Caenorhabditis elegans: one gene and its partners. The protein of the gene in region 4 interacts with the protein of the main gene of each other region in a pairwise test. Each region holds a gene or a part of one and is shown on either strand. Other genes may lie near its edges.

What was found.
Region 1: the proteins of zoo-1 (region 4) and lin-65 interact in a two-hybrid assay, tested with the Caenorhabditis elegans proteins (one large-scale study listed by BioGRID).
Region 2: the proteins of zoo-1 (region 4) and F39G3.3 interact in a two-hybrid assay, tested with the Caenorhabditis elegans proteins (one large-scale study listed by BioGRID).
Region 3: the proteins of zoo-1 (region 4) and C28A5.1 interact in a two-hybrid assay, tested with the Caenorhabditis elegans proteins (one large-scale study listed by BioGRID).

The regions. Positions count from the first base shown.
Region 1 is NC_003279.8:1,751,882-1,759,076, reverse strand, and holds the start of lin-65 (uncharacterized protein), read right to left. Parts: upstream 3,749-7,195; 5' UTR 3,748-3,748; coding exon 3,615-3,747; intron 227-3,614; coding exon 1-226. Other genes in the region: Y71G12B.10 (hydroxymethylglutaryl-CoA lyase), read right to left, coding at 4,762-5,078, 6,140-6,473.
Region 2 is NC_003283.11:4,728,846-4,735,999, reverse strand, and holds F39G3.3 (Histone H3-K79 methyltransferase), read right to left. Parts: upstream 4,090-7,154; coding exon 3,814-4,089; intron 3,765-3,813; coding exon 3,652-3,764; intron 3,602-3,651; coding exon 2,766-3,601; intron 2,634-2,765; coding exon 2,452-2,633; intron 2,403-2,451; coding exon 2,327-2,402; intron 2,232-2,326; coding exon 1,570-2,231; 3' UTR 1,277-1,569; downstream 1-1,276. Other genes in the region: tig-2 (TGF-beta family profile domain-containing protein), read left to right, coding at 5,880-5,992.
Region 3 is NC_003281.10:4,428,358-4,437,638, forward strand, and holds C28A5.1 (Ig-like domain-containing protein), read right to left. Parts: upstream 5,988-9,281; coding exon 5,934-5,987; intron 5,885-5,933; coding exon 5,747-5,884; intron 5,702-5,746; coding exon 5,636-5,701; intron 5,589-5,635; coding exon 5,286-5,588; intron 5,237-5,285; coding exon 5,061-5,236; intron 5,014-5,060; coding exon 4,893-5,013; intron 4,847-4,892; coding exon 4,649-4,846; intron 4,545-4,648; coding exon 4,333-4,544; intron 4,287-4,332; coding exon 4,184-4,286; intron 4,138-4,183; coding exon 4,001-4,137; intron 3,951-4,000; coding exon 3,147-3,950; intron 3,095-3,146; coding exon 2,855-3,094; intron 2,809-2,854; coding exon 2,730-2,808; intron 2,606-2,729; coding exon 2,360-2,605; intron 2,308-2,359; coding exon 2,224-2,307; intron 2,175-2,223; coding exon 1,678-2,174; intron 1,630-1,677; coding exon 1,458-1,629; intron 1,409-1,457; coding exon 1,367-1,408; 3' UTR 1,258-1,366; downstream 1-1,257. Other genes in the region: C28A5.6 (Protein kinase domain-containing protein), read right to left, coding at 66-550, 706-1,025, 1,077-1,142; C28A5.2 (REJ domain-containing protein), read right to left, coding at 6,507-6,548, 6,601-6,772, 6,829-7,325, 7,464-7,547, 7,593-7,829, 7,933-8,011, 8,060-8,293, 8,346-9,149 and 1 more.
Region 4 is NC_003279.8:14,527,138-14,533,911, forward strand, and holds the start of zoo-1 (Tight junction protein ZO-1), read left to right. Parts: upstream 1-2,391; 5' UTR 2,392-2,394; coding exon 2,395-2,490; intron 2,491-3,794; exon of another isoform or gene 3,795-3,843; intron 3,844-4,839; coding exon 4,840-4,893; intron 4,894-6,774.

The DNA of each region.
Region 1 (7,195 bases), about 13 Mb from region 4:
TCCTGAACTTCTGGAGCTTCTTGATCCGGAGCTGAAGCTTCTGAGGCTTCTTGAGCTGGAGCTGAAGCTTCTGGAGCTCCTGGAGCCGGAGCATCTGCAGCCAGCTCTTCCTGAGATTCAGGACCATCTGTAGTAACATCCTCATCCTCATCCATATCAATCACGAGAATCGGTTCCGGAGTGTCGTCATCATCGTCGTCCAGCATCACCACATCATCTGATTCGTCTGAAAATCGGAAAATTTTAGATTTTTTGAGCGGGAAATTCAAATTTTTCGGGCTTGAGGCGGCTTTTGGTGGCGTAGAAACATTTTTGGTGGCCTAGAAGCATTTTTGGTGGCCTAGAAACCTTTTTGGTGGCCTAGAAACATTTTTGGTGGCCTAGAAACCTTTTTGGTGGTCTAGAAACATTTTTGGTGGCCTAGAAACCTTTTTGGTGGTCTAGAAACATTTTTGGTGGCCTAGAAACCTTTTTGGTGGCCTAGAAAAATTTTTTGGGGGCCTAGAAACATTTTTGGTGGCCTAGAAACATTTTTGGTGGCATTGAAACCTGTTTGGTGGCCTAGAAACATTTTTGGTGGCATTGAAACCTGTTTGGTGGCCTAGAAACCTTTTTGGTGGCCTAGAAACATTTTTGGTGGCCTAGAAACATTTTTGGTGGCCTAGAAACCTTTTTGGTGGCCTAGAAACATTTTTGGTGGCATTGAAACCTGTTTGGTGGCCTAGAAACCTTTTTGGTGGCATTGAAACCTGTTTGGTGGCCTAGAAACCTTTTTGGTGGTCTAGAAACATTTTTGGTGGCCTAGAAACCTTTTTGGTGGCATTGAAACCTGTTTGGTGGCCTAGAAACATTTTTGGTGGCATTGAAACCTGTTTGGTGGCCTAGAAACCTTTTTGGTGGCCTAGAAACATTTTTGGTGGCCTAGAAACATTTTTGGTGGCCTAGAAACCTTTTTGGTGGCCTAGAAACATTTTTGGTGGCATTGAAACCTTTTTGGTGGCCTAGAAAAATTTTTTGGGGGCCTAGAAACATTTTTGGTGGCCTAGAAACATTTTTGGTGGCATTGAAACCTGTTTGGTGGCCTAGAAACCTTTTTGGTGGCCTAGAAACATTTTTGGTGGCCTAGAAACCTTTTTGGTGGTCTAGAAACATTTTTGGTGGCCTAGAAACCTTTTTGGTGGTCTAGAAACATTTTTGGTGGCCTAGAAACCTTTTTGGTGGCCTAGAAAAATTTTTTGGGGGCATTGAAACCTGTTTGGTGGCCTAGAAACATTTTTGGTGGCATTGAAACCTGTTTGGTGGCCTAGAAACCTTTTTGGTGGCCTAGAAACATTTTTGGTGGCCTAGAAACATTTTTGGTGGCCTAGAAACCTTTTTGGTGGCCTAGAAACATTTTTGGTGGCATTGAAACCTGTTTGGTGGCCTAGAAACCTTTTTGGTGGCATTGAAACCTGTTTGGTGGCCTAGAAACCTTTTTGGTGGTCTAGAAACCTTTTTGGTGGCATTGAAACCTGTTTGGTGGCCTAGAAACCTTTTTGGTGGCATTGAAACCTGTTTGGTGGCCTAGAAACATTTTTGGTGGCATTGAAACCTTTTTGGTGGCCTTGAAACCTTTTTGGTGGCCTAGAAACCTTTTTGGTGGCCTAGAAACATTTTTGGTGGCCTAGAAACATTTTTGGTGGCCTAGAAACCTTTTTGGTGGCCTAGAAACATTTTTGGTGGCATTGAAACCTGGTTGGTGGCCTAGAAACCTTTTTGGTGGCATTGAAACCTGTTTGGTGGCCTAGAAACCTTTTTGGTGGCCTAGAAACATTTTTGGTGGCCTAGAAACCTTTTTGGTGGCCTAGAAACATTTTTGGTGGCCTAGAAACCTTTTTGGTGGTCTAGAAACATTTTTGGTGGCCTAGAAACCTTTTTGGTGGTCTAGAAACATTTTTGATGGCCTAGAAACCTTTTTGGTGGCCTAGAAAAATTTTTTGGGGGCATTGAAACCTGTTTGGTGGCCTAGAAACATTTTTGGTGGCATTGAAACCTGTTTGGTGGCCTAGAAACCTTTTTGGTGGCCTAGAAACATTTTTGGTGGCCTAGAAACATTTTTGGTGGCCTAGAAACCTTTTTGGTGGCCTAGAAACATTTTTGGTGGCATTGAAACCTGTTTGGTGGCCTAGAAACCTTTTTGGTGGCATTGAAACCTGTTTGGTGGCCTAGAAACCTTTTTGGTGGTCTAGAAACATTTTTGGTGGCCTAGAAACCTTTTTGGTGGCATTGAAACCTGTTTGGTGGCCTAGAAACATTTTTGGTGGCATTGAAACCTTTTTGGTGGCCTTGAAACCTTTTTGGTGGCCTAGAAACCTTTTTGGTGGCCTAGAAACATTTTTGGTGGCCTAGAAACATTTTTGGTGGCCTAGAAACCTTTTTGGTGGCCTAGAAACATTTTTGGTGGCATTGAAACCTGGTTGGTGGCCTAGAAACCTTTTTGGTGGCATTGAAACCTGTTTGGTGGCCTAGAAACCTTTTTGGTGGCCTAGAAACATTTTTGGTGGCCTAGAAACCTTTTTGGTGGCCTAGAAAAATTTTTTGGGGGCCTAGAAACATTTTTGGTGGCCTAGAAACATTTTTGGTGGCATTGAAACCTGTTTGGTGGCCTAGAAACATTTTTGGTGGCATTGAAACCTGTTTGGTGGCCTAGAAACCTTTTTGGTGGCCTAGAAACATTTTTGGTGGCCTAGAAACATTTTTGGTGGCCTAGAAACCTTTTTGGTGGCCTAGAAACATTTTTGGTGGCATTGAAACCTGTTTGGTGGCCTAGAAACATTTTTGGTGGCATTGAAACCTGTTTGGTGGCCTAGAAACATTTTTGGTGGCATTGAAACCTGTTTGGTGGCCTAGAAACCTTTTTGGTGGCCTAGAAACATTTTTGGTGGCCTAGAAACCTTTTTGGTGGCCTAGAAACCTTTTTGGTGGCATTGAAACCTGTTTGGTGGCCTAGAAACATTTTTGGTGGCATTGAAACCTGTTTGGTGGCCTAGAAACCTTTTTGGTGGCCTAGAAACATTTTTGGTGGCCTAGAAACATTTTTGGTGGCCTAGAAACCTTTTTGGTGGCCTAGAAACATTTTTGGTGGCATTGAAACCTGGTTGGTGGCCTAGAAACCTTTTTGGTGGCATTGAAACCTGTTTGGTGGCCTAGAAACCTTTTTGGTGGCCTAGAAACATTTTTGGTGGCCTAGAAACCTTTTTGGTGGCCTAGAAAAATTTTTTGGGGGCCTAGAAACATTTTTGGTGGCCTAGAAACATTTTTGGTGGCATTGAAACCTGTTTGGTGGCCTAGAAACATTTTTGGTGGCCTAGAAACATTTTTGGTGGCCTAGAAACATTTTTGGTGGCCTAGAAACATTTTTGGTGGCCTAGAAACATTTTTGGTGGCCTAGAAATCTTTTTGGTGGCCTAGAAACCTTTTTGGTGGTTTTTTTTTTCACAGGTTTCGGAGGCATTTTTCGACATTTTTGGCCATTTTCTCAGCTAGAAATTCCAATTTTCGAGTTTTAAGGTAATTTTTAGCGAAAATTGCAAATTTTTAGTGCAAAATTCAAGGTTTTACTCAAAAAATCTCACCTTTCTGCTCAGTTATCTCCATAATTTCTCCATCTTCACCCAAAAGCTCAGCAATCTGATCATCATTTAATGGAGGTATTGGATCATCTGAAGCTTCTGTATTTAAGATACTTTCGTCGATTACTTCTGACATTCTGTAAAATTTTGAATAATTTAGAATTTTAGATGGGAAAAAATGGCAAAAAAAAAAGGATTTAAAAAGTCAGAAATTCAAAAAAAATTATTTAAAAAGTTAGAAATAGCCGATTTTTCAGGAAATATTCGAAAAATTCAGGAAAAAACTTTGAAATCAGGGGAAAATCTCGAAAAAAATCAAAAACAAATCTGAAATTTTTGGGGAAAACAGTTTTTTTTTACGAAAAAATTCAAAAATTTTGTGCAAATTTCGAGAAAATCCAGAGAAAAATGTGGTTTCTTGATTTTTTTCAAACAATTTTTCGAAAATCTCCAAAAAATCGTGAAAAACTCGAGGAATTGAAGGGAAAACTAGCAACAAAAAATCACAAAAATTGAGAAAAAAATATAGAAATCAGCTGAGAACTGGGGAAAACTCGGGAAAAATCTAAATTTTTGGGGGAAAATCAGAAAATTTTGGGGAATAACTTGCTTTTTTCGAGAAAAATTTCAAAATTTCGTACAAAATCCCAGAAAATTCAGAAAAAAAAATGCGGTTTTTTGATTTTTTTTCAAATAATTTTCCGAAAATTTCCAAAAAATCGTAAAAAAATCGAGAGTAGAATTCGGCTGAAAACCGGCAAAACTCGGAAAAAATCGGAAAATTTTGGGGAAAAAACCAAAAAAATCGGTAAAAACCTGCTTTTTTTTGAGAAATAATTCAAAAATTTGTACAAAATCCCAGAAAAATTCTGAGAAAAATGCGGTTTTTGAATTTTTTTTTTTGCAAACAATTCAATTTTCCGAAAATTTTCAAAAAATCGTGAAAAAATCGAGAAATTGAGGGGAAAACTAGCGAAAAAAAATCACAAAAAATGAGAAAAAAAAGATAGAAATCGGCTGAAAACCGGCAAAACTCAAGAAAATAAAAATCTGAAAAAAGTCTCTAATCTCTTTATTATTTCCTAAACAACCGGGGTAATTTTTACACGAATTTTTAAAAATTTTTTTAAATTTTTTACAGCACACATTTTCAGCAGCAGCTTTTGCTCTTTTTAGCCATCATTGCAGCTCCAACTCTCGACCATTTATCATATCCGGCGGCTTCATTAAACCATTTTGCAGTTTCGACAACTTTGTCCAAATTGACACCAGTTTCAAAACCGTTTCCTTTCAAAAAATACAATAAATCTTCAGTTGCAAGATTTCCAGTTGCTCCTTTCGCATATGGGCAACCACCGAGCCCTGCGATACTTGAATCCGCACTTCGGATGCCTTTTTCGATGGAAATGAGCACATTTGCGAGAGCTTGACCGTATGTGTCGTGGAAATGAACTGCGAGTTTTTCGGCTGAAATGGTGGTGATTTTTTGAAATTTTTTTTTCTTTCGAAAATAATTTTTTTTCACAGTTTTCCCGACTTTTTTCGCCTGAAAATCAATCGATTTTTCATTGAAATAACTCAAAAAACGATAAAAATCTCAATTTTCGCTGCGAGACCCACAATCTGTGGGGAAATTGACCGAATATCATGATAAAAAAATTCAAAAAATTTTTTCTAGATTTTATAAGATTTTTTTTTGATAATTGAAAAAATCTCAGTTTTCCCCTAATTCCTATTTGAATTACCGCCAATCGGATTTGACCGATGGAGCGCGCTTGCATTATTGGAATTAATTAATTTTATTTATTCTCATTATTCGACTGAATTTCTTCATTTCTTCTGTTTTTTTTTGTTGGAAAATGAAAGAAATAAAAAAGACATATGCAAAATGTTTGTTAAAAAGTAACTGAAAATGCCTAAAACTGTATTTTTTTTGAATTCTGACGACGGCAAGCCTGAAATTAGTATATTTTACAGTTTTATAAATAAAAATATATTTTGTAAAACTGTGAAATATACTAATTTCAGGTTTGTCGTCGTCAGAATTCAAAAAAAATTACAGTTTAAGGCATTTTCAGTTATTTTTTAACAAAAATTTTGCATCTGTCTTTTTTATTTCTTTCATTTTCCAACAAAAAAAAAACAGAAAAGAAGAAAATCAGTCGAATAATGAGAATAAATAAAATTAATTGATTAAAATAATGCAAGCGCGCTCCATCGGTCAAATCCAATAGGCGAAAATTCAAATATAATTATGTAAAAACTGAGATTTTTCAATTTTCAAAAAAAAATCATATAGTCTAGAAAAAAATTTTGAATTTTTTTATCACGATATTCGGTCAATTTCTCCACAGATTGTGGGTCTCGCAACGAAAATTGAGATTTTTATCGTTTCGTGAGTTATTTGACTGAAATCGATTGGTTTTCATGCGAAAAAAGCCGGGAAAACTGCGGGAAACTACTTTTTTTGTAGTTTTTCACTCGAAAAATCGAAATTTTAATATAAAATATTTAAAAAAATCCGCTACCTGGCACACTTTTCAGCACCGTATCCAGCATTTTCGACACAGTTTTCACTGTTCCAACGCCAATAGTGTCGCCCAGCGAGACCTCATAACACCCAGATTCTAGAAGCTTCTCGGCGACTCTGGCCACCATTTCCGGCTGTACAGCTCCCTGATACGGGCATCCAACGACGACTGAAACGTAGCCACGTACTCGAATATTGTTCTCGAGGGCGATTTTTGTGACTTCCATGAGCTTTTTCAGACTATCTTCCACATTGGAATTCACATTTTTCAGTGAAAACGCGTCTGAAGCTGCTCCAAATACGGCAATCTCTTCGACGACTCCTGTTGCGAGCTGGAAACTTGAGAAATTTGCAATTTTAAAGGTGGAGTAGCGCTAGTGGGGAAATTGCTTTAAAACATGCCTATGGTACCACAATGACCGAATATCATGATTAAAAATTTTTAAAAAAATTTCAAAATTTTATATGATTTTTTGAAAATTGAAAAAATCTCAGTTTTTGCCTAATTCCTATTTGAATTTCCGCCAATTGGATTTGTTCGATGGAGCGCGCTTGCACGTTTTTAAATTTATTTATTTTATTTTTTGTTATTTTCCACCGATTTTTAATGTTTTCAGTGTATTTTTGCTCGAATTTTAGAGAAAAAGCCAAGATAAATTCAAATTTTCGATTAAAAAGCACGCTGACAGGCGTAAATCAGTGAAATTAATTAATTCAGGTTCGAAATCATTTAAAAGCGTTACTTTGTCATTTTTACGCCTGTCAGCGTGCTTTTTAATCGAAAATTTGCATTTATCTTGGCTTTTTCTCTAAAATTCGAGCAAAAATACACCGAAAACATTAAAAATTGGTGGAAAATAACAAAAATAAATAAATTTAAAAACGTGCAAGCGCGCTCCATCGAACAAATCCAATTGGCGGAAATTCAAATAGGAATTAGGCAAAAACTGAGATTTTTTCAATTTTCAAAAAATCATATAAAATTTAGAAAAATTTTTTGAATTTTTTTACTATGATATTCGGTCATCCCCACTAGCGCTACTCCACCTTTAAG
Region 2 (7,154 bases), on a different chromosome or scaffold from region 4:
CTGTAGTTTTCGCTACGAGATATTTTGCGCGTCAAATACGTTTTGCAATGCTCTTTCTCAAAATTTTGTATTCCCATAATAAGTGCTAAATGTTTCATGTGAAATTTCAAGAACTTTCCTTTTTCAGAGTATCAAATGAGTTAATTTGAAACAATAAAAAAATCTAAATGGCGGAAATCGTGGCGGGACCCACCGAGAAAGTAAGTGTGTGCCTTTAAATTGAAGTTTTACGTTTTTACGACAGTACGATATCTCGGCTGATGTGCTTCACATTTTCAGGCAATTTTTAATATACTAATTTTACCAAATTTTGAAACACCAGTTTAAAGGCACACGAAGGTTTTCTGGTTGGGTCTCGTCACGATCTCAGTCAAGGAGCTCGCTAAAGATGCCGAATCTTACAGATTTATTCATTAGATGTCGAAAATGATTAGAACTTTAAATTCTAAATATCTAAATAAAAATTTTTCAGTTCCGTAAATCCAGTAGCCAATAAAATTCCTAAATTCCAGTTTTCCATCTCTCATTTGTCGGAGGTCTCCAATTCGGTTGAAAAGTACCTGAAAAAATACTCCACTTCCTCTTATCATAACCATTCATTGTTCATCATCCCCTGTATAGTGTCTTGTGTATTTTTAAAAATTCAAATTTCCCATCGTGTGTATATTTTAATGCAAACTTCTACGACTTCCTCATGAGATGCATTTAAGCGGACTAGTTTTGTTGATTTTTAACATAAATTCAGAATATGCACAAAATGCAATTTTCAAAAAAATCTTTTTGCGCTGCGAGACCCATAAATGCAGCTTCCTTGGAAGTCGTAGAAGTTGGCAAATAATAAAATTGCACTCGAAATTGGATTAGAAAAACTGAAAAACTTTCGAAAAGTGGAGAATCTGCATAACTTCGAGCACAATATTATTATTGTGAATATCATTGTGCTAATTTTCATGTGTCCTCTGTTCCTCTTCCACTATTCCCTTTCATTGGCCAAAATTCTCAAAGCTCTCCTCAAAATCGATTATGGATTTAAAATGTTCTAAATTTCAACAACTCCTTCAGTAATATAAATTGCTCGAGTTGAACCATCAACGTCGACGCAAATTCCCAAATTCCATATCATCGCCGTCATCCCTGAAAAAATTGGCAGCCAGAAGCATTGTAGACGATTTTCTGTTTTCCAATTCCAGGATTTCTCGTTGATTTCTTTCCAATTTCGACCTGACACTGTCCAACGACCAATTATTTAGCACATAAATCACAAGGAAAACAAATTACACAGTGACCTTGGATTTATTAATACAAAAATCTAAGAAACTAAAGATCCAAGTTTCTAATAAAAATCGAGCCGGAAAATGATTAAACAGGGGAAATTATAAAAATTTAACATTTCTGGATATTAAAAAACGGTCATGATGAAAGTGGGGTGATCGAAATTCGGTTGTAGTGCACAGAAACAGAATATTTGGGGTGGGGGCGATATATCATGAGGAGGCTACCCGAAACACGGATATTAATACATTAAGTAGATATTATTAGCAAATTGAACATCATCTACAATAATAATTATTATGTGAAAATCTCATCCATTAAATCAGAATCAGTGGGATACCGACGGGAATTATTGTACTCATATCCCGAACCCATTGGTTGTTGCTGATACGGCTGCTGCTGCTGGAATCCTTGAGGCGGCGGCGGCATTTGCTGATGAATCATTGGCTGCGAGTACTGACCGAATCCTTGCATAACTGGTGACGGGAACTGTTGCTGTGGAGGGTAGAAATTCGGCGACGGCTGCATGTAGTTGTTCATCATCGCAGGTTGTGGTGGTAGTGGTGGTGGTGGTGGAACCGGAACTGACATCAGTGACGGAAGCGTTGTTGGAGCTGTGCATGGATTGAAAGACATCATCGGATTTCCAACTGAAGCATCATTTTCAACGGGAACACCGTTTCCTGCGGTAGCGGCAAATAGCTGTTTAAGCGACGCTTCATTGGTAGGCGATGGAGCAGCTGGAAGACGATGGGTCTCACGACGACGACTGTTTCCATTTTCCGATTTTTTATGATCACGAGATCTCGTTTCGCGAGATCTAGAACGAGTCCGCTTCCTGTCGTGACGTCGCATGAAATCCGACAGCTTATTCTTGTTGCTCGAAGTATTCCAAAACTCGGCACATTTCTCTTTGGCGAATGTGTCGAACCCATTTCTCATATCACGAGCATCGGACACTAAACGTTATTAGAGCTCAGGTGTTAGGAAAAATCGAATCAGAAAGGTATTACAATACAAGGAAATAATAATCTGAAAATCGGTTAGTTCTTACCGCTAATTTGAGTTCCAAAAATGGCAATATCATTACACAATGGCTCAACAAGTTCGGCCAAGAATCTTGATAACTTCTGAAACATAGAAATGTTAAAGTGTGAAGCGTGTCCGATTGTCCAATACCTCAACACGTTTCATGGACTTCCGTGAGTGCTCATCGATGACTCCAAGCGATACAAGCTTGTCCACGTAGTTGACGAATGCTCCTTTGTAGCATTCTCCTTTTATTTCATCGAATTTCGATCCATAAAGCAACTCTTTAGGAATATTCACTGCATAACATTTTGCTACATATTCGGTGGGACCTAAATTGATTGGAAATCAGTGACTACTTACAGAGATTTCACGGGAAATTAAAACTGGGATAAATGAGAAATTATGCTACTTATGCTACAGTTAACTACAAAATACAAAAAAAATTGGGTCGATGACAGTACTTTTTCCTTCAATCTTGGTAACTTCGTATTCAATCTTTCCGATCGCTGGATTCAAATATTTCAGGAAGAATTCGTCACATTCTGCCTGTTTCGAATAATCCTCATGCTTTTTCCGAGCTTCTCTCCTTTTTGCAGCTTCAGCTTCTTCTTTTTTCTCCTGCAACGCGTGTCTTTTTTTTCGTTCCATCTCTCTTTTCTTGATATCTTTCTCCTTCTCCTTTTTCCGCATATCATCCAAAACTTGAACACGAATTTTACCGATTTCATGACGAGCTTTTCGCTGATTCTCTCTTTCTCGATCTGCTGCGCTCGTATCGGATCTTAATCTTGTGCGCTGAGGTTCTTCCGGTGCTACAAACCGAGCCTTCTGACGTTCTTTTTCAGCCAATTCAGCTTGTCGAGCAATCATCATCATTTGAATACGAACTTTCTCGTCGCGACTGTCCTGAGGTGGTTTTGCAGGATCCTCTTCGTCTTCTCCATGCATTGGAAACACTGGCATCGGATCCACGACCACGTTCTCTTGATGACGCCAAGCCGGTGTTGGCGAAAAAGCGCGTTGGCGCTCAGGAGATTGTTGTTGCATTCCAGGTGGAGGAGAATCGTTCATCGGCCACATGGGCATTTCATCGACGCGAACTTCCACATCTTCGTGGTACATTCGTGGTTGATGACGATCGTAGGAATTATAATCCGGTAGACCAGCATAAGCGTTGTATGGATCCACGTTCTGCGGGAACGGTTCGTGTGGTGCATAGTTTATTTGAGAAAACTCTCCATTGATATATTCAGGGCCTCGAAATGGCTCCGTGGAATCGATGCGAATTGGTGACGAGCTGAAAAATATATATTGTTAAAAATTGCTCTATCTACGAATTAAACTTACGTCTCATATCGATCCCTAGATCGTGGTGTTACCGAAGCGCCACCTGAACCACGCGACGAAGAATAGCTTCCTTGAGCCAAATCGACGGTTAATCCATAATTTTGTTCAAGGAGCTGTAATTTGTTTTAAAATAAGAAATGTTCGAATGAGAAATGTTAATACCTTCGCTTCCTCTACTAAACCAATATTTTTCTGATGTAGTTCTTCTTGTAGTTCTCTTACTTTCTGTTGGGCGATTTCATAATTTGAAAGTTGATTGGCAGGTGATCTTCTTGTTTTTCGAATGGGAGAAATTTCTTGTCGTCGTGCGGGTGATCTTCCATGTCGTCGAATTGGTGATTTCCCTTGTCGTCGAACTGGCGATCTTCCCGTTTGCCGAACAGGCGATCGTCTTCCCTGATGAGATCGATTGTTGGTTCGACCCGAGTCTCGAGACATCTGAAAAATGTTTGCTTTAAAATACTTAATAATTGAAAAATTGCTAGAAAATAGAACACGTAAGTACAATAAACGCTTTCAATGATAATAATAAATACAAGTTTCGGCATTTGACGTTTTAGGAGCATTTTTCTTTACAAATAAAAGGAAAATGTGATAAATTCAATTTATAAATATTTTAAATTGTTTATTCTTAAAAATGCCTGAAAAAGAAACAGAATGGAGCTCAAAAAACAAAGAAATGTTGATTGTCGCTCGCGCAAAGAAAAATGAAAAATCGTTAGCTCCGCCTACATGCAATGCGCGCGCGCGTTTTTGCAATGTCCCCGCACAGAATGGCTAATTGTCTTATTTATTGGAAGCAATGGGAAATTTCGCGGGGAAAATACTGAATGGAGAGCAAAAATGATAGATTTTAAAAATAAAATTTTTTAAATTGGGAAAAAAAATTTTCGAAAATCTTTTTTATATGAATCGAAAGAAGAAAAGAAAGAAAAATAAAAATTCAAAGTGAATGTCAAAAATTACCGTAATCCCTTAAAGGCGCAACCTCTATTCAAAAAGTTCTGTTTCGACACGACAAGTTTTGTTAAATGCAAAAATGTGTGCGCCTTTAAGAAGTACTGTAATTTCAAACTTTTGTTGTATCGGATTTTTTGCCGATTTTCCAAAATTTTAGTGTTTTTTTTAGTCAAAATTGAGTTTTTTTTCGATAAGTAATTAAATTCGTTTTGAAAAACTATTGAACATCAGTGAGAATTACGCAACAACGAGAGTTCGAAATCACAGTAATCCTTAAAGGCGCACATAACGAAAAAAAATCGCGAAAATCGCGAAATTTCGCGTCTGGGTAATATCAAGAGTTGAGATTTTGCTGTAAAATATCCAAAATAGCCTGAAATTTAAATGATTGTTTTTTTTTAATTTTGAATGACCTCCCGATTTGAATTTAATTTCTAACAAAACGAGAACTGGAAGACCAATCAGCGATTTGCTCCGCCCCCATTTTTTTACCAATCAGAAGAGTGCGTGGAGTTCGAAGTCGCTGATTGGTCGAGGAATTTTCATTTCGGAAGGAATTCAAACAGAATGAACCTGGTACTATTACAGGAACAAAAATTTCTGAGAATATTCTAGAATGCGTATTGTGTAACATATTTGACGCGCAAAATATCTCGTAGCGAAAACTACAGTAATTCTAATGACTACTGTAGCGCTTGTGTCGATTTACGGGCTCGATTTTCGAATTGAATTAAATAAAATCGAATTGAATTTATTTAACTATTTTTAGAGACCGTAAATCGACAGAAGCGCTACAGTAGTCATTAGAATTACTGTAGTTTTCTTTTTCGCTTCGAGATATTTTGCGCGTCAAATATGTTGTGCAATACGCATTTTCAGAATTTTGTGATCCCGTAATACATGCCGCCTTCAATGATTAACCATACTTATGACAAATTGGTTTTTTTCCGCCATGTTCTCTATTTCTCCACTCACAGCGACCACATTTCCTTTGTTTTGCTGTTTCAATTTTTCCATCTTCTTCTTTTTCAAAAAAAAAAAGAAAAATGTTTCGAGCGCCTGCTTGCAGGCCTGGACAGAAATTGTCTGGGGAAATCGGAAAGACACATGTGTGTGTGTGTGTGTGTGTGTGTGTGTGTGTGTGTACTGCCCTTCTCTCATCATTTTTCTCTGATTCTCCCCCACCATCGCCAAATCCTTTCAGCAAATTCAAAGAGTCAGTGCCGGAGAGTCCCTACTAGTTTGTGCTCTTCTTCTTCTCAGATTACATGCTCTTCGAATTTTCGATTTTATTGGGATTCCTAGTGCCACGTGGAGATTCGAAAGGAATTTATTTCGTCGAGGAACGCAATGGAAAAACGTATACTCAACCGCTGACTGGGTTTGTTGTTTTTTTTTCGATTTTTTTCAAATAATAATTGAGAAATCATGTGATGTTGATGAAAGGCATATTACGCCCTGGTCTCGAGATGAAAAATTTTTGTTAAATTTGCAAACAAATGTGTGTGCCTTTAAAGAGTACTGTAGTTTCAAATTTTTCATTGCGCCGGAATTTTCATTGAATTTTAAACAATTAAATATAAATTAAATATTTTTTTAACGAAAAACTATGAAAATCGCGTGGTATCAGGCTGTCCCATTACGGTTTGATCTACAAAAATTGCGGGAATTTTTTCTTTTCACGATCTGTTAAAATTGAAGTGTAATCATTGAATTTTTGATATTACGGGAACAATAAATCATGAGAATGCGTACTTGGTGCATTTTATTTGACGCGCGACATCTCTTAGCGAAAACTACAGTAAGAACTCAAATAACAATAGATATTTAAGCTCTTACTGTAGTTTTCGCTAAGAGATATCGCGCGTCAAATAAAATGCACCAAGTACGCATTCTCATGATTTATTGTTCCCGTAATAAATTAAAAAAATTTTATCGAAAAACTTTAAACTTACAGTACTCTAAGAATTTGTCGTGTCAAAACCGGGTACCGTATTTTTGGGACAAAAATCGCCAAATTTCGCTTCTGGATAATAATCTATTTTCTTGATGGGTCCTACCACCACAATATAAATTTCAGCAATTTCGCGAATTTATACTTCAAAGTATGTATCATTTTGAAGTTTTCCGTACTCCAAGTTTCTGAAAAAATTCCGAAAAAAAATTCTAAACCGAAAGTACTTTTAATATCATTCTGGCGCGGAAATTTTGGCCATTATTGTGTCATAAAATGGAATTTGGTCTCGACACGACAATTTTTAATGCAAAAAGGTGTGCGCCTTCAAAGAGTACTGTAGTTTTAAAATTTCGTTGGCGTGGAATTTTCACGGATTTTTCAGTTTCCCAATATTTTAAAAATCAATTACCTAAATATATTTTTATCGAAAAAGTATGAAAGTTCGACATACAAATCCGGCAGAAAGTTTGAAGCTACAGTACTCGTTAAAGGTGCACACCTCTTTTCGTTTGACATGAATTCATCGTGTCAAGACCCCGGGTACAGTAGTTTTGGGGCAAAATTGGCAGCATTTTGCGTCCGGGTG
Region 3 (9,281 bases), on a different chromosome or scaffold from region 4:
GTTCGCGCGCTCTGAGACCTTTTTTCATAATAACTATTACGCATCTTTTGAAATTCCTTTAATACCTTCAAACATGCTATCCTCTTCATCTCCCGTAGCATCAGTGTCTTCAGTTTCATCTTTCGACCCTTTTCTGTCTTTCTGTTTCTCTATGTTATCCAACATCTCTTCCAAATATTCAATCTCATCGTCAAAATTCATTTTATCATCAATAGATGATGACGTGTCATCAGACGAAGATTTCAAATCTTTATAAAGTTTTTGCTCTCTTTCAAGACGTTTTTCAGCCAATGCTTTCTCTTTCTCTGCGTCTAATTTCTCTTTATCAGTCTTCTCTTTATCATCTTCCTCTTCATTCTCCGTCTCTGTCTCTTCAGTAGTTGGTGCAGATGATGGCTCTACCATATCCGTTGGCTGTTCAGATTCCTTCTTCTCTCCGACCTCGCCATCCTCTTCGGAAATAAGATGGGAAGACGACGACGCTGATACTGCATCGAGATCCTTGTCCGAAAAACAATCCGACCCCGAACAACAACATTGGCGCATTATTCTGTAAATTGGTATTTACAGCTACAAAAAAAGAATAAAAAGATTCTGGAGGTATGGGGAATTGAACCCCAGCCCTCTCCCATGCTAAGGGAGCGCTCTACCACTGAGCTATACCCCGACGGACGGGCTCGGTTCTCAGTGTCGATAAAAACCCACTTCAATCGTTTCCAGGCAATATCTGTAGCATCATTTTCATTTTTGAACATAGCTTCAACAGCATCAGTATCCGAAGTTTCACCATCTGAATCACAAGCATCCGAATTTGAAGAAGAAAACTCTGATGATGATGAATATTTATTTGTTGTTCCTTTTTTAACTTCCAATTCGAATTTTTGAATTTCTTTCAGCAAAGCTTTTTCCTTTTCATCAATAACTATTTCAGGCAAATCACCATCCAACTCATCTTCCTCAGATTCCAAACATTTTGGACCTTTTAAATCCGTTTTCTTTTTTCTTTTATTTAGAGCTGCTTTACACTGAAACATTTTCAGTATTCTCTCTTAAAATGAGAAAATCAATAAACTTACAACTGTCTTCCTATCAAAACTTGGATAAGTGATCGCTCGTTCCACATATTCGAAAGGAAAATCCATTCTAATCAAGAAATAAATTAAAACTATACAAGAAGAAGTGTTAGGCCTAAGGACGTGAAAGTTTAAATTATTGAACTTTGAAATTAAAGGGAATGTCAAGTAAGAAATAAAACAGTTTAAGCGTAGATAATTTTATTATAATTGGAACAAAATAATACACCAAATTTTTTGAAAATTGGGAGCGGATAAAAATAGAGAACGTGTATGAAAATTATGTCGATCTCTCACATATACGTGTGTAGCTCGTTTCGGTACATGAATTGCAGCTGAAAATAGATAATTGTGTGTGAATAGTACTTAAATTTACAAACTAACCATCATGGTCACTGCATCAGTTTTTTTGATATAAGTTGTATTGAGACCGATGCAATCTGACAACACCTTAAGCAGAGGAACATATTCTTGTTTCTCGTACAACATCTTATATACTTTCCCTTTGGTCAGCATATCCGTGAGGTAGTTCAGACCAATTGTAAGCGAGTCGTTTCTGGAAAAAAAATCATGAACAATTTGATAAACGATATTTCGTTATTACCTTGCTCTGAACTGGAATTTATGATTATCATCGGTCATTGGCAACAAATATTCGATCTTTTCTCGCAAATCATCCTCCAGGACGTATTCGAGAATTCCTTCGCTGTGAAGTTGTGGCAACTTCTCCAGAAGTGCATCAAACGCTGTGAACATTTTCTCTCGTCTCGTATTCACATCGACTTTTCGGATTTCGATTTCTGGTTTCATATCTGGTCCATCAAGCATTTTGACTCTCATATGGCCTGCAGCACGAAGTCTGTCAATTCTCGCCTGATGCAGAATCGAATTGATACGATGTGTTTCCCAGCATCCAAAGTCGTTTACAGTGAATGGGGTAACATAAACCGGGACGACAGGTGGCGGTGGCACATAGATTTTAGATTTTATAATCAATCTGGGCAATGGAACAGTATCGGAGAACTCTACGACAAGTCTCCAGAAGATGCAAAACTCCTCATCGTACTTCAAATCCTTAAGAATTGATGCTTCCACTGGACCCTGAAGGAAAATGTAAATGTTCGCGAAAAAGAAAAAAAATAAAACTCACTCCAGCCAGCGGCTCAATAACACAAGAATAGGTAAACCGAGAATGCACATCTGGATCAAGTAGTTCTTCGTTCAAATGTTTCATCTAAAATGTAATTTAAATGAAACAAAAACTTCATAACAATAAAAAAACTCACCAATTGTGGTACTTTTTCCACAATAATGAAACCAGGAAGAGCTGTGGTAGACCACAATTCAAAAAAGTCACTCTCGATTTCTGCATTCGCTGGTCTTTCTGCATTTACAGTGCATCGCAAATAACTTTGTCCGTCGCGACCATTTACAGTTTGGGGGTCGGAAAACCAATTATTCCGATCAGGTGGTTCCTCGTTTCGCATTCCTCCTTTCAGACCAAAAGAGAATCCGCCGAGCCGACAAATGCGCTGAAACACGGGAAAACAATATAAAATAAAAAAACTTCTTTCGATTTAAAATTTTATGAAAACATTCGAAATGATTAGTCTACTAGTGACTAAGTAAGTTAGTCAGTCAAGGAAGCAAACTTACATCAACTTTGGATGAAAAATGATAAACTCTGTACGTTTCTCCCAACTGGAACGACTTTGGCAAATTATTGAACTTTCCTCTGAAATTCTTTGGCATTAGTTTGGCACATTTAAGGTTGAAAATACCCGATCGGAACGACGATAGACATGTTTCTGAGGTTAATATCAACACCAACACCAAGAGCAACGAAACGTACGAGTCCTTTGATGCAAGTCTCATCAAACGATGGTGGAAATTTAATGCTTTCGACGGCGATTACTGTAACTGAAAGTTTCGTTGTTCGTGTCACTTGCGCCAGCGGTAAACGATTCCAGCATTTGAGAATGGCATTTTTATTCTGTTCAACAAACATTTTTCGATTGTTTCTGAAAATATGAATAATCAAGACACGAAAATTTATAACGATTTTGAACTTACATATTATTATAGATAATATCTCTCAGTAGCACATTATGCGGCGTGATATTCCTGATCTGCCTGAATCCATATGGAGCACGACGTTTTGGGCGTCCGTTTAATGATCCACTGGAACTCGAGCCATAACTGTTTCTCGGTCTTACTCTATCACCGGGAGTACTGTATCCGAATATTCGACGTCTTGGTGGAGGTGAATAATCAGGACGACCAATGCTAATTTTATCAACATCTGAAGCTAGTCTGTCCACAGTTGATGCACGACTAGAAGCTTGATCATGAGTGGATTCGTAGAAAGACTCAGTTATGATCTCAGGAGTATCCATAGTTGTTTCTGAATGCTGATTTGTCGAATCAAGCCAGGATTCGGAGATGAGAATATTGGAGTCATCATTTAACGCAGAAAATCTCGCGTCGTTTCTGTCGATGACTGTACAAGTTGAAGCAGCACTGGATGATTCATAAACTGATTCCGTTAAAATGAAATCTCCGGAAGTTGAAGCACTATCCGCGATACTTTGATTGTCGAACAAGAGCTGTCTTTCGAATGATGACTCGTTCAGAATTGTTGGATATTCTCCGGTGTCGGGCAGATTGTGATCCAAACTGATGGAATCGTTAATTAAGACAATGTTATTATCAGCAGCTGATAATTGACCGTTTGGATTGGTTCTTGCCAAAGCTCCGGAAACTTCGTAAGACAAATTGAGACTTCTGGATGGGTAATTCGTCGTTCTCGGATGCTCACGAACAGTTGAAGCCAGTTGCCGAACAACAAAAACAGGAACGTTTCTCTCCATCAAAACGCTGAAAGAAAAATAATTATCTCACAGATAATTCAAATAAAAATTACTAACAATTGAGCGTGGACCGTGAATTCTTGTGTCAGAGACATCGCTGCAGTGACACCATTCACATCGATAATCTTCTGCTCGAGGAGAGGACAGAGAAGCTCGTATCTGGAGGCGTTTTGAAATTTAACCGTAGTTCGAAGCTGAAAAGAAAAATGTTGTTATTAAAAGTTGAATAATATTCCATACCCATACGGAGCCATTCGTTATAAAATATGCTGGATCTTTTGGACTTTGAATAACGTGTTCAACGTGAATGGCATTCACAACGTCGTGACGGTTTCTCGGAACTCTGGAAATTCAATTATTAATAATGGATATCTCAGTTTTTACCTTACCTAACTCTGACCTTGTACGAATTCAGTAACAATTCCTCATTCTTCACATGTACACCATTAGCACAAAACAATACTCGGAATGGGATTGCAATGTAATCGATGCTCTGTTTGAAGCGATCAAACGAGTTACTTGACGGATCCAGAACTGCAAAATAAGTGCTCGTTTCATTGGAAATGTAGACGACTCGACAATCAACCATCTCGTCCTCTTCCTGAAATTAAAGCAATTAAAAATCACACAACAAGGAGCAGTATCAAGATTTAGTTGCTTTCATTTATCTTGGAGTCCTTTATATTATTTTTTCAAAGTATGTACCAGGCATAGATCCACAATCGTTGGCACGAAGGAGCCTTCTTCTTTCTGAAATTCCATTCGAAAATCGTAGAGATGACCGGCAGAAAGTTTATCACGGTACTGTTGTAAACCTCTGAACACTTTCCCGATATGTGGAACATTCATACTTGGAAAGTCTTGATTCTCCATCATACTGCGGCAGCTTGCATTCGCTTCAATCTGAAATATTTCAATTGTTTGACGAAACGAATGCTGGGTAACTCACGTATACTTTTCTGGTGATCTGATCAGTGATGACTTTCAGATTCGGCCATTCCGTTGAACGAAAACTGGAGAGTAACTCGTATGAGCAAGAGAAACCAAACGAATTTTCGGGGATACATCGTCTGAAGAAAATGATTTTATGATATTAACATACTTACCAATTACTCACTTTACGAGAATCACATGAACACTTCCGAGGGAAGGCATTGGAGTGTCAAGAGACGTGCTTGGTAAAATGGCGCATCCCATTTTCGGTGTCCAAAAAAGTGCTCCGTGATCATTTTCAGCGATAACGACTCCTTCCAAAACTCCATATACCATTGACTCGGCGATATAAGGCAAAGTCTGAAAAATCGGTTGTATATTTTGCTTTAAGGCTCTTAGCTCAACGTACGGTTTCTCTGTAGTAGAGCTCGAAAATGGGAGTAATTGGAAAATCAGCATAATATCTCCAATTGACAGTCACGCCGTTTTCAAAACTTATTGGCTCCCAGCATACGCCGATTCGATAAATAAAAGGAGTGTCGGTGTTTTGCAAATTTGATCTACTTGTGATTGAGGTTTGAAGCACACGAGTTGGAAGTACAATCTTTTGAAAGTCCGTATTCTCGTTCTCGATAATGCTGTAATCCATTCCATTTATTTTAAATGGATCTCTTTCTAGACATTCATTTGAGAAGTGCACAATAGCGAAGATCTGAAACAAGTTGATTGTAAAATGGTAAAATAATTCGATTTTCATACCACAACTTTGGAATTCACCACCGTTACATCACGAAACCATTCAAAACTGCCACATTGTGCGACAAGCTGAACATTTTAAATTGAGAAAGTTACTCATAATTAATATGATACCGATGGCAAAAAGCTGTTCGCGTGTTCAAATTTGGCTTTAACAGTTGCTCCTGGAGTCGGCGGAAAGTTAAACTTTTCCGAAGGAACGGTGATGCAACAATGATCACTGACAGATCCATCCAAGAATGCGACTCTCCACTGAAAATAATGATTTTACGAACTAATTAAAAATAATTAAAGAAAATACCTCAAACGAATCGCTGAGCTGATTAATCAAAACACCGTATTTATAAAAATGCATTGTTTTGTGGTGATAATCATCGGCAAGTCACAGAAACTCGTAAATCTGAATTAAAAATGTTTCAAAGAAGTCAAAAATCGTCTGGAATAATTTTCAAGTAAAATATATCTCAATTTCGCTATTTTCTTAACAAAAAAGAACGAAATTCAACGAAATAAATGTAGGATAAGAGTTCGTTGGAATCAAAAACAAAAGGTTGCACGGGCGGGTCGCTGTGAGACCTTCGAGTGGGAATGCATGCACCTTGAAAAACTACAGTAACCGAGATAAACATTTCAGGCCTACAACGACGGAAATGGTGACTAAAATTAGTTTAATTGGAGGAAATTAATTCTGAGACTGAAAAACTACATGGTTTTAAATAACTCCCAATTTCCAATTTGGTAAATGTCGAACAAGACAAATTAAGAACAAAATGGGTTTTATTGAAGAAGAAAGTGAAAAAAAAAGAAAAAATAAAGGGTTTTCTGGCAATTGAAAGCGGATAAAAAAAGAAACTATCAAAATTATGTCGATTTCTCACAAATACGTGTGTAGCTCGTTTCGGTACATGTAATGCAACTGAAAATAAATAGATAATTATGCGTGAACAGTACTGAAATTTAGAACTAACCATCATCTTCACTGCATCAGTTTTTTTGATATAAGTTGTATTGAGACCGATGCAATCTGACAACACCTTAAGCAGAGGAACATGTTTTTTCATCTCATTCATCACTTTGTATATTTTTCCTCTAGTGAGCATATCCGTGAGGTAATTCACACCGATTTCCAGCGAGCCGTTTCTGAAAGAATCAGGATAATATGATAAATACATCTAAAAGTTTTATTTCGAACTCACCTGAATGTGAATGTAAATTTATGATTATTATCGTTCATTGGCGTCAATTTTTTAATCTTTACTCGTAAATCATCCTCCAGGACGTATCCGAGAATTCCTTCGCTGTGAAGTTGTGGCAACTTCTCCAGAAGTGCATCAAACGCTGCGAACATTTTCTCTCGTCTCGTATTCACATCGACCTTTCGAACCTCGATTTCTGGTCTCAAATCTGGTCCGTCAATCATCTTAACTCTTGGATCGCCAACGGCCCGCATTCTGTCAAGCTTCTCTTGAGCCAAAATCGAATTGATTCGTAAAGTTTCCCAACATCCGTAGTCGTCCACAGAAAAAGTGCCACTTTGCACCGGTTCTGTTCTTATCTGTGGCACAACCTTGTCAGTTTTTTCCTTTAATCTGGGAAGTGGAACAGTATCGGAAAACTCGACGACAAGTCTCCAGAATATGCAAATGTCTTCACCTTCTTTAACATCTTTGAGAATTGAAGCTTCCACAGGGCCCTGAAACAAAAAGTAAATGATATAAACCCAGAACATATAGAGAGATACGGCAGAGATAAATTCCGAAAAAAGAGGTTTGTGAAATATGAAATCTCATTTTTGCAGTGTTTCTATGGAAATAGCTAAACGTAAACTCACTCCAGCCAGGGGCTCAATAATGCAAGTATACATATGTTGATGGTGCACATCTGGATTAATTGGTTCTTTATTCAAATGGTTCATCTGGAATGATAAAAAAGTCAACATCAAAAAAGAAAATAAACTGACCAAGAGTGGGACTTTTTCCACAATGATGAATCCAGGAAGACCATGGACTGTCCACAATTCGAAAACATCACTTTCGATTTCTGAAATCGCTGGTCTCGCTGCATTTACAGTACATCTCAAATATCTTTGTCCGTACCGACCATTCACTGTTTCGGGGTTGGAAATACAATTCACTGGAGCCACGCGACTCAATTCTCCATTGAGGCCGTGCGAAAATCCTCCGATCCGACAAATGAGCTGAAAAACGCAACAATTAGGACAAAAAGCTTCGTATTAATCAGAAATTCAACTATCATCAGTGAATCAGAAGGTCCATTGCAAGTTAGAAAAGCAAACTTACATCTTTGTAGGATGAAAAGTGGAAAACTTTATACGCATCCCCTAACTGGAACGATTTCGGCAGATTATTGAAATTTCCTCTAAAATTTTTAGTATTAACTTTGAGAAAACTTTACATTAATATATACCCGATCGGAACAACGACAGACGTGTTCTTGACGTTCATATCATCATATACAACAGCGAAACGTACGAGTCCTTTGATGCAAGTATCATCAAATGATGGTGGAAATTTGATGCTTTCGACGGCGATTACTGTACAGAAGATTTTCTTCGTTCGTGTCACTTGCGCCAGCGGTAAACGATTCCAGCATTTGAGAATGGCATTTTTATTCTGTTCAACAAACATTTTTCGATTGTTTCTGAAAATATGAATAATCAAGACACGAAAATTTATAACGATTTTGAACTTACATATTATTATAGATAATATCTCTCAGTAGCACATTATGCGGCGTGATATTCCTGATCTGCCTGAATCCATATGGAGCACGACGTTTTGGGCGTCCGTTTAATGATCCACTGGAACTCGAGCCATAACTGTTTCTCGGTCTTACTCTATCACCGGGAGTACTGTATCCGAATATTCGACGTCTTGGTGGAGGTGAATAATCAGGACGACCAATGCTAATTTTATCAACATCTGAAGCTAGTCTGTCCACAGTTGATGCACGACTAGAAGCTTGATCATGAGTGGATTCGTAGAAAGACTCAGTTATGATCTCAGGAGTATCCATAGTTGTTTCTGAATGCTGATTTGTCGAATCAAGCCAGGATTCGGAGATGAGAATATTGGAGTCATCATTTAACGCAGAAAATCTCGCGTCGTTTCTGTCGATGACTGTACAAGTTGAAGCAGCACTGGATGATTCATAAACTGATTCCGTTAAAATGAAATCTCCGGAAGTTGAAGCACTATCCGCGATACTTTGATTGTCGAACAAGAGCTGTCTTTCGAATGATGACTCGTTCAGAATTGTTGGATATTCTCCGGTGTCGGGCAGATTGTGATCCAAACTGATGGAATCGTTAATTAAGACAATGTTATTATCAGCAGCTGATAATTGACCGTTTGGATTGGTTCTTGCCAAAGCTCCGGAAACTTCGTAAGACAAATTGAGACTTCTGGATGGGTAATTCGTCGTTCTCGGATGCTCACGAACAGTTGAAGCCAGTTGCCGAACAACAAAAACAGGAACGTTTCTCTCCATCAAAACGCTGAAAGAAAAATAATTATCTCACAGATAATTCAAATAAAAATTACTAACAATTGAGCGTGGACCGTGAATTCTTGTGTCAGAGACATCGCTGCAGTGACACCATTCACATCGATAATCTTCTGCTCGAGGA
Region 4 (6,774 bases):
GTTTAAAGGCGCAGGTTGTTTCCTAAGCTAGGCCTGTTTTAAGCATACCTAAATTGATTTTTCTATTATACTAGTTAATTGACTTCTACAGTTGATAGACCAATGCACCATGTTCTCAAAAAAATTTCAATTGCTAAGACTTGATGATTATCAAAAGTTTAGTAGTGGTGTTCCAAAATTAGACAATTCTAGTTTAAAGGTACATACATATTCCTTTACAGTTAGAGTTATTTTACAGTTATTTTATTTTTAGTTACAGTTAGAGTTTACAGTTTTTTAATGCTTGCCTAACATATCAATTTTTCTATGTTTCTATTACATATAGAAAAATTGATATGTAGGCAAGCATTAAGAAAACTGTAAACTCTAACTGTAACTAAAAACAAAATAACTGTAAAATAACTCTAACTGTAAAGGAATATGTATGTACCTTTAAACTAGAATTGTCTAATTTTGGAACACCACTACTAAACTTTTGATAATCCTCAAGTCTTAGCAATTGAAATTTTTTAGACTAATAGACTAGTATCTACGTTTCTATTACACATAGATACTAGTCTAGTTATGCATTTTTGAAAAGTTGATATACCAATGCACCATGTTCAATGATTGATTGGTCAGGTTTAAAAAAGTACTACGAACTGTAGTTTAAAGGTTCATGTTGTTTCCTCAGCTAGGCGTATTTGAAGCATATGTAGTTCAATGTATGTGTCTATTCAGAAAACGTACATGTCTTTTTCTAGTTAATTAACTGATTTAGTTGGTTGATCAATGCACCATGTCTAAAAACTGAATGGTTAGCTTCGTATCCCCCAATAATGTGTATAAGCCTCTAAACTACAACGGCAAGCTCAAAAATTACATTCTGCAAAAAAAAACTAATCAACTTTTTTCCAGTTTATGAGTTTTTGAGCTGAAGTGTTTTGTGCCAATCACCAAACAAGACTTGTCCATTTTTTGTTCTGAAATCGATGTTTTAGACTGTATTTCAAGCTTATATGATACACTGTCTTGGGAAAATAGGTTATTGAACCATCTGACTTTGGTTTGACAAAAGCATAAAAGTGACAAAGTCTAATACCTCACAGTTTTGAAACTTTCGTTCAAGACTGTAATAATTATTAATTAGAAATAGCTAACTAGAACCGATATACATAGGTACTTAATTCTATATATCTATATACCTATATAATTATATATATACCGAATTCTATAACACACCATGGAATTTTACCATATATTCCCTTTTTAGTACGTTTATATCTCGGTTGTCTTTGATCATATTTCAAAAATTCAAAATTCAAACGACACAATTTTTTTCAAATCTATCGTTATGCTTTGGTTTTTGAAGGTATCAAAAATATTTTTAAACCGTTGAAATATGAGCCGACAAAGTCGATTGACGGGGGGCCATACTAATAGGGAATGTACGGTATATATAATTTATGTACATATATGTATTATAACGTATGATAACATTCATACACTTCCTTTTTTTGACTAACTCAATTGCATGGAATTTGAATTTAAGACTACACACATTTTCCAAACAATTACTATTTTTCTTCTCTCATATCTCTAATTACTCCGATACTATTCAAAAATTCAATTCCCCATCCCCCCAGAAAACCCCAAAATTACTCCAAATTCCACGCATCCCAAATTCAATTTCCTTTACATGACCCCTTTTCCCCATTCTCCTACCCTTCTGCCTACCAATATGTCGTCAAATTCAATGTCTGCGTACCCGATATATGCGTATGTATTGAATGGAATAACACACCATTTGACGACATTTTCCCCGTTTAAACTAACAACTTTTCAAGGTTGTTTATTGGATTTTGCAGGGTTTTGTATGGGAAAAGTTCAGGATTTTCCTATAAAATCAATATTTCTTTGGAATTTATAATTGTTTAAGTACTGTGATAACTACTTAAATAGAACTTGTTTTATTTGAGTTTGTTAAAATTTAATTTGTTCATAATGTAACCGCTTTAAACGGGGCTTTTTTACTATTATTAAATTTAAAAGTTGACCTATTATAACTTTTTCTCAATAAGAAGTTTCAATTTTCATACTAATTACTACTTCTATACAGTTTTTTTCGATGTTACTTTAAAAAATTGAAAACTTGTCCTTATAAATTAGAATTTTCTGGTTATTCTTATTATTTCTGTTGAAATTGAACTTTAAAACGTTTTCAATTGTTCTTTGAGTTAAAATATTAATTTTTATAACAAAATTTAAAAAAAAAACCGCAGTCTTCAAAAAGCATAAGAAACAAACTGAACTTCATTGCTTTTTCCGCTTCTATTTGTATATACGATTAGCCTCTATTTACCCTGTGATTTTTGATTATTTTCTTTTTGTATATAACAACTTTTATATTCCAGAATGTCAGAGGACCCATCATGGTACAAGACCTCCATGTCAAGTACGTCTTCTTGTATTGAGGAGGAACATGAGCCTGTCGATCAGGATGAGGAAGAGGTTAGTATTTTTGTTTGTTTCTAAAAAAAAAATTAAAGCTTTATACCAAATTCTAACAATTTTTTTGTTGGATATAGCAATATAATGATGTTTTTCAAGTAGTGTCGGAAAATTAAAAAGTTTAGAAAATGAACGTTACCGCTGTAAGCATGTATTTTAATACTGTTGTGACGTCATAAATGTATTTAAATAAGGTAGCTGTTATACCGTCATCACGTACAATTTTAAGAATTTATTTGAGCTTTCACACTACAATATTTCGATACGTTTTCAAAATCAAAGCTATAACTAACTGTAACGCTATGTCCTTTGTTATACGTTACAACGTTTTATTACACACTATAATATAGATTTAGCCTGATTTCAAATGTTATAAATTATACGTTATCAACAAGATTAAAAGGTTAAGGTTATAGTATCATATATTAAAAAAACGTTAAAATTTTAATTGAACGATCATATTAAAACAACGTTTTTACATGTGTAACGAATTATAACGTTAGTTTTTAAAATAAAGGTTATAAAGTATCGTGTAATATTTTTAAAAAAAGTTAAAACGTAACGTTAAGTTAAGGCTATACATAGTATATTTTTCGTAATAAGGTATAACGTTTTAAAGGTGGGGATATTGTCTAAGTACACTTATTATGATCCAAAACGACCAAATATCATAATATAACACAATTTTAGATTTTTCATAATTTCCGGCCTAAGTTTTGGCATATTGCCAAAACTTTGAAAAATCAGAGCTTTTGAAAAAAAGTCCAAAGGTATGCCGCATGTTTCGACCCCTACAATGTTTTAATACGAATAATTAAAACAAGATTACAGAATTAAAAATGTAGAAAAACAATTTTTTTTTGGTCGACTTCCAAAATTATGAGTGGCAAAAACTCAGTAATTGTCACCACTTTTTGACAATAAATAAAAAATTTTCAAAAATTTTTTGAAAAGTTTTATTATGATATTAGATCATTTTGGGACTTTTGGTTTTTAACAACTTCCCCACTGGCACTACTCCACCTTTAAGATGTATGTTTTAACGGTATAACGTATAGGGTTAAAAGCAACTTTAAATTAAGGTTTTTACATAGTTGAACGATTTTGTCCATTTTTGTCGCGATGCTTGTTCCACTAGCAAAAACTGAACATGCTCACACTTTCTTTGAAAACCGCGAAAAATTAATGCCAAAAGATAGAAAACCATTCAAAACGCGTTTACTACCCCTGAAACAAAACGTCTAATAATATGAGAGTCAGGTCAAAAATAAAAGAGACACTTTTCTCATTCTCCTCCCATCCACTTTTTTCTCGTTTTTCAACATAGTGTAAATGAGAAATGTGTGTGTATGAAAAAGAAAAAGAGCCTCTTCTTCTTCTTCTTTCTTCTTCCACACAACTTCCCGAGGGACCCCCTTTTCCCAGTTTTAACCAGACATTGATATCATGCCCTTCTTAGAAGAGAGAGAGAGAGAGAAGACTCTTTTTGTTTCTATTCAACTCGTGTGTCGCTTATTTGACTTTTGATGTCTACTGGTAGCCTAGTTATGAGAAAAATTACAATAGATTTTAGAATTCTTAGGCTGTATGGGTACTGTAATTTATCACCTATAGGAAAAATTGATAGCATTACATATATGGTTTTAAATTACTCATAATTTGGGGTAGATCAAAAAAGAGAAACTTTTTAAATTGGTATCTAACAAATGCTATATCTATATAGTTGATTTATTATTTTCCAAGAAGTTATGAAAAATTAGTCTTTCACCATTTTTGATTCGGCAAAGTTTAGCGGTAATTTACATTCATGAACAACAGTTGCCAAAAATGTTTTTCTGCATCTTATAGTGAATTTTCATATTATTTTATAAGTTTCAGGAATAACAATTTAAAAATTTGTATGTATAGGCAAATACTGTTTGTGGTTTTAGTTTCACCGTTATAAAATAAGTAGTCGTTTTCTTAATATAAAAAATTGGATTTTTTAGGAAATTGATAATAATGGTACGGTTTCTATGTAGTAGCTGCGGTCCAAAACTTTTGACCAGTTTAAAAAGTTAAGCTTACAATTAGCAAATGCTTTTTCTATACTTTGGTTTAGTTGCAACATAATTAACAAAACTAACTGTTTTAAATCTAAAATTACGGCAATTTCTGTGCAGTTTTTCTAAAACCTAAAAATCACCTATTTTTGATTGTTTATAATTAAGTAGCAAGAAAGTGTCCTAGCCAAAAAATAGGAAATTTCTTGCTCTTTCAGACCAGTATACTAACGTCTCTGTACCTACGATATTCATTTCAAAAATCTTTTTCTAAAACCTAAAAATCACCTAATCACCTATATTCCAGATGTACAACCCGAGTGGATGCACGTGGCAACTTCTCTCCGTCTCCTTACACAGAGTATGTTTCTTTTTGTTTATATTTTAAACATTGTCTAATTCCTCCCTGACCATAAACAAAACCCGTTTCCCATTTTTTTTCTCCTACTCGGGTATAAATGATTTATCGTCCATGTATGCAAGGGACAATTGTGTATAGGTATAGGGGTATACATTCCGTTTAGGCAATCTGTATAGAAATTTCCAGGTAAACTCGTTACTTGATACAGGTCGAATGTCAATTACCTGTCAACCTATCTATTTAGCACAGTTACAAATATATGTACATAGAAGAACTATTTTCTGATAGTGAGTCGAAAATTTTGTTATTTATACCTTACTTGAATTATGTGTTGAGTTTCTAAAAAAAACTCCCCTAACTCGGTTAAATTTCGGATTTTCATAAAAATTATCTACTAAATTCTGAGCTTAATTAAAAATTTATTATAATTTCCTAAACTAGGGTGCCAAGCTGTCCTCAGCACACTCTTAACCATGCGAATCCAGTTTAGAAGCCTGCGTCTAAAATCCCGCAATTCTCGGAGATCAAACCGAAATGGGACATTGTGACACCACGGGACCTCTGAAATTGTAAATAAGTACCTTATAACCTAATTTATCATGTAATAACCTAGTTGATTTTAAGACTTACCTAGTATCTGTCCTAGTAGATCACTAAAACTGTAAAGGACTTTAGTTGAAACTTTTCATTGTATCTAGAAGATCATATCGCCATTTGACCTAATTATCTGATTTTGCATGGTTAAGAGCGTGCTGACGTCACAATTTTTTTGGAAAAATATTCCCGCATTTTTCGTAGATCAAATTGTAATAAGACAGCCTGGCACCACGTGTGTGTATCTAGAATATTTCCTTGATCTCAAAAGCCCTTCTACTCCTCCCTTAGTACTTTCTCTCCATAGCTCCTAGAATCCTCGAGAGTTGGTTGGTCACATTATTAAGACATTGAATATCTCTCTCCTGTTCTCTCTATCTTTGTGATATGGGACATCGAGAAAGAGTTGGCCATTGGCCAGTAGCAGCTGCCACCTTCTCTCTCTCCTCCCGTGTGCAAGCTTTATCCTTCCCGTCCCCGGGAGAAAGAGAGAGAGAGAGAGAGAGTATTCTTACTACACACATCACTCTCACTCATCACGACCACCATTCCGTCCATTCGTTCACACAACTTCAGCTTCTTTCTCCTCACGTATCGATTTATAGTGATTTATCACCTTTTAGCCGTCGAAATTTCGGATTTCTAGAGGTTTTGTGTGTAGATTTTGCTTTTTCTTGAATTCAGAGGGGCATTTATATCAAGTGTCTTCAAATTCTTAGGAACTCTATGAACTGCCACCTGTTTTGCAAAAATCTACACTTTCCTGAAATTTTTGGACTTACAAGGGAAGTATTTCAACGTAATCCCGTACTCCTGAATAAAATCTATGTCATTTAGAAATTTACTTTCTAAATATACTCCTACAAAATATTTAGCGGCAGAGGAGCACTTTGAACTGGAAAAAATCGTCGTTCTGAAAACTTTTCGGTGCATTTTTTTTCGGCTTCATATGTGAATTTTTGAAGATTTTTCAATGATTTCTAGAATGCTTACGAGCCGGAAAACATTTCGAATGTTTTTTTTTAATTTTCGAAAAAATCTAAACTTTTGCCATGGATCAAAAAATTTCAGATTTTTTCAAAACTTTTTAAAATACCAAAACAAATTCTGATTGTTTGCCGGCCTTTGATTATTTATTATTATTTTGCATACAAATCATAAAAATTTAAATTTTTTTTGCAAAAATTCACATTTGGAGCCATTTTACGGACCTCGAAAGTTGGGGAAAAATGCACTGGAACGTTTTCAGAGCGACTTTTTCCAGTTCAAACTGCTCCTCTGTCGCTA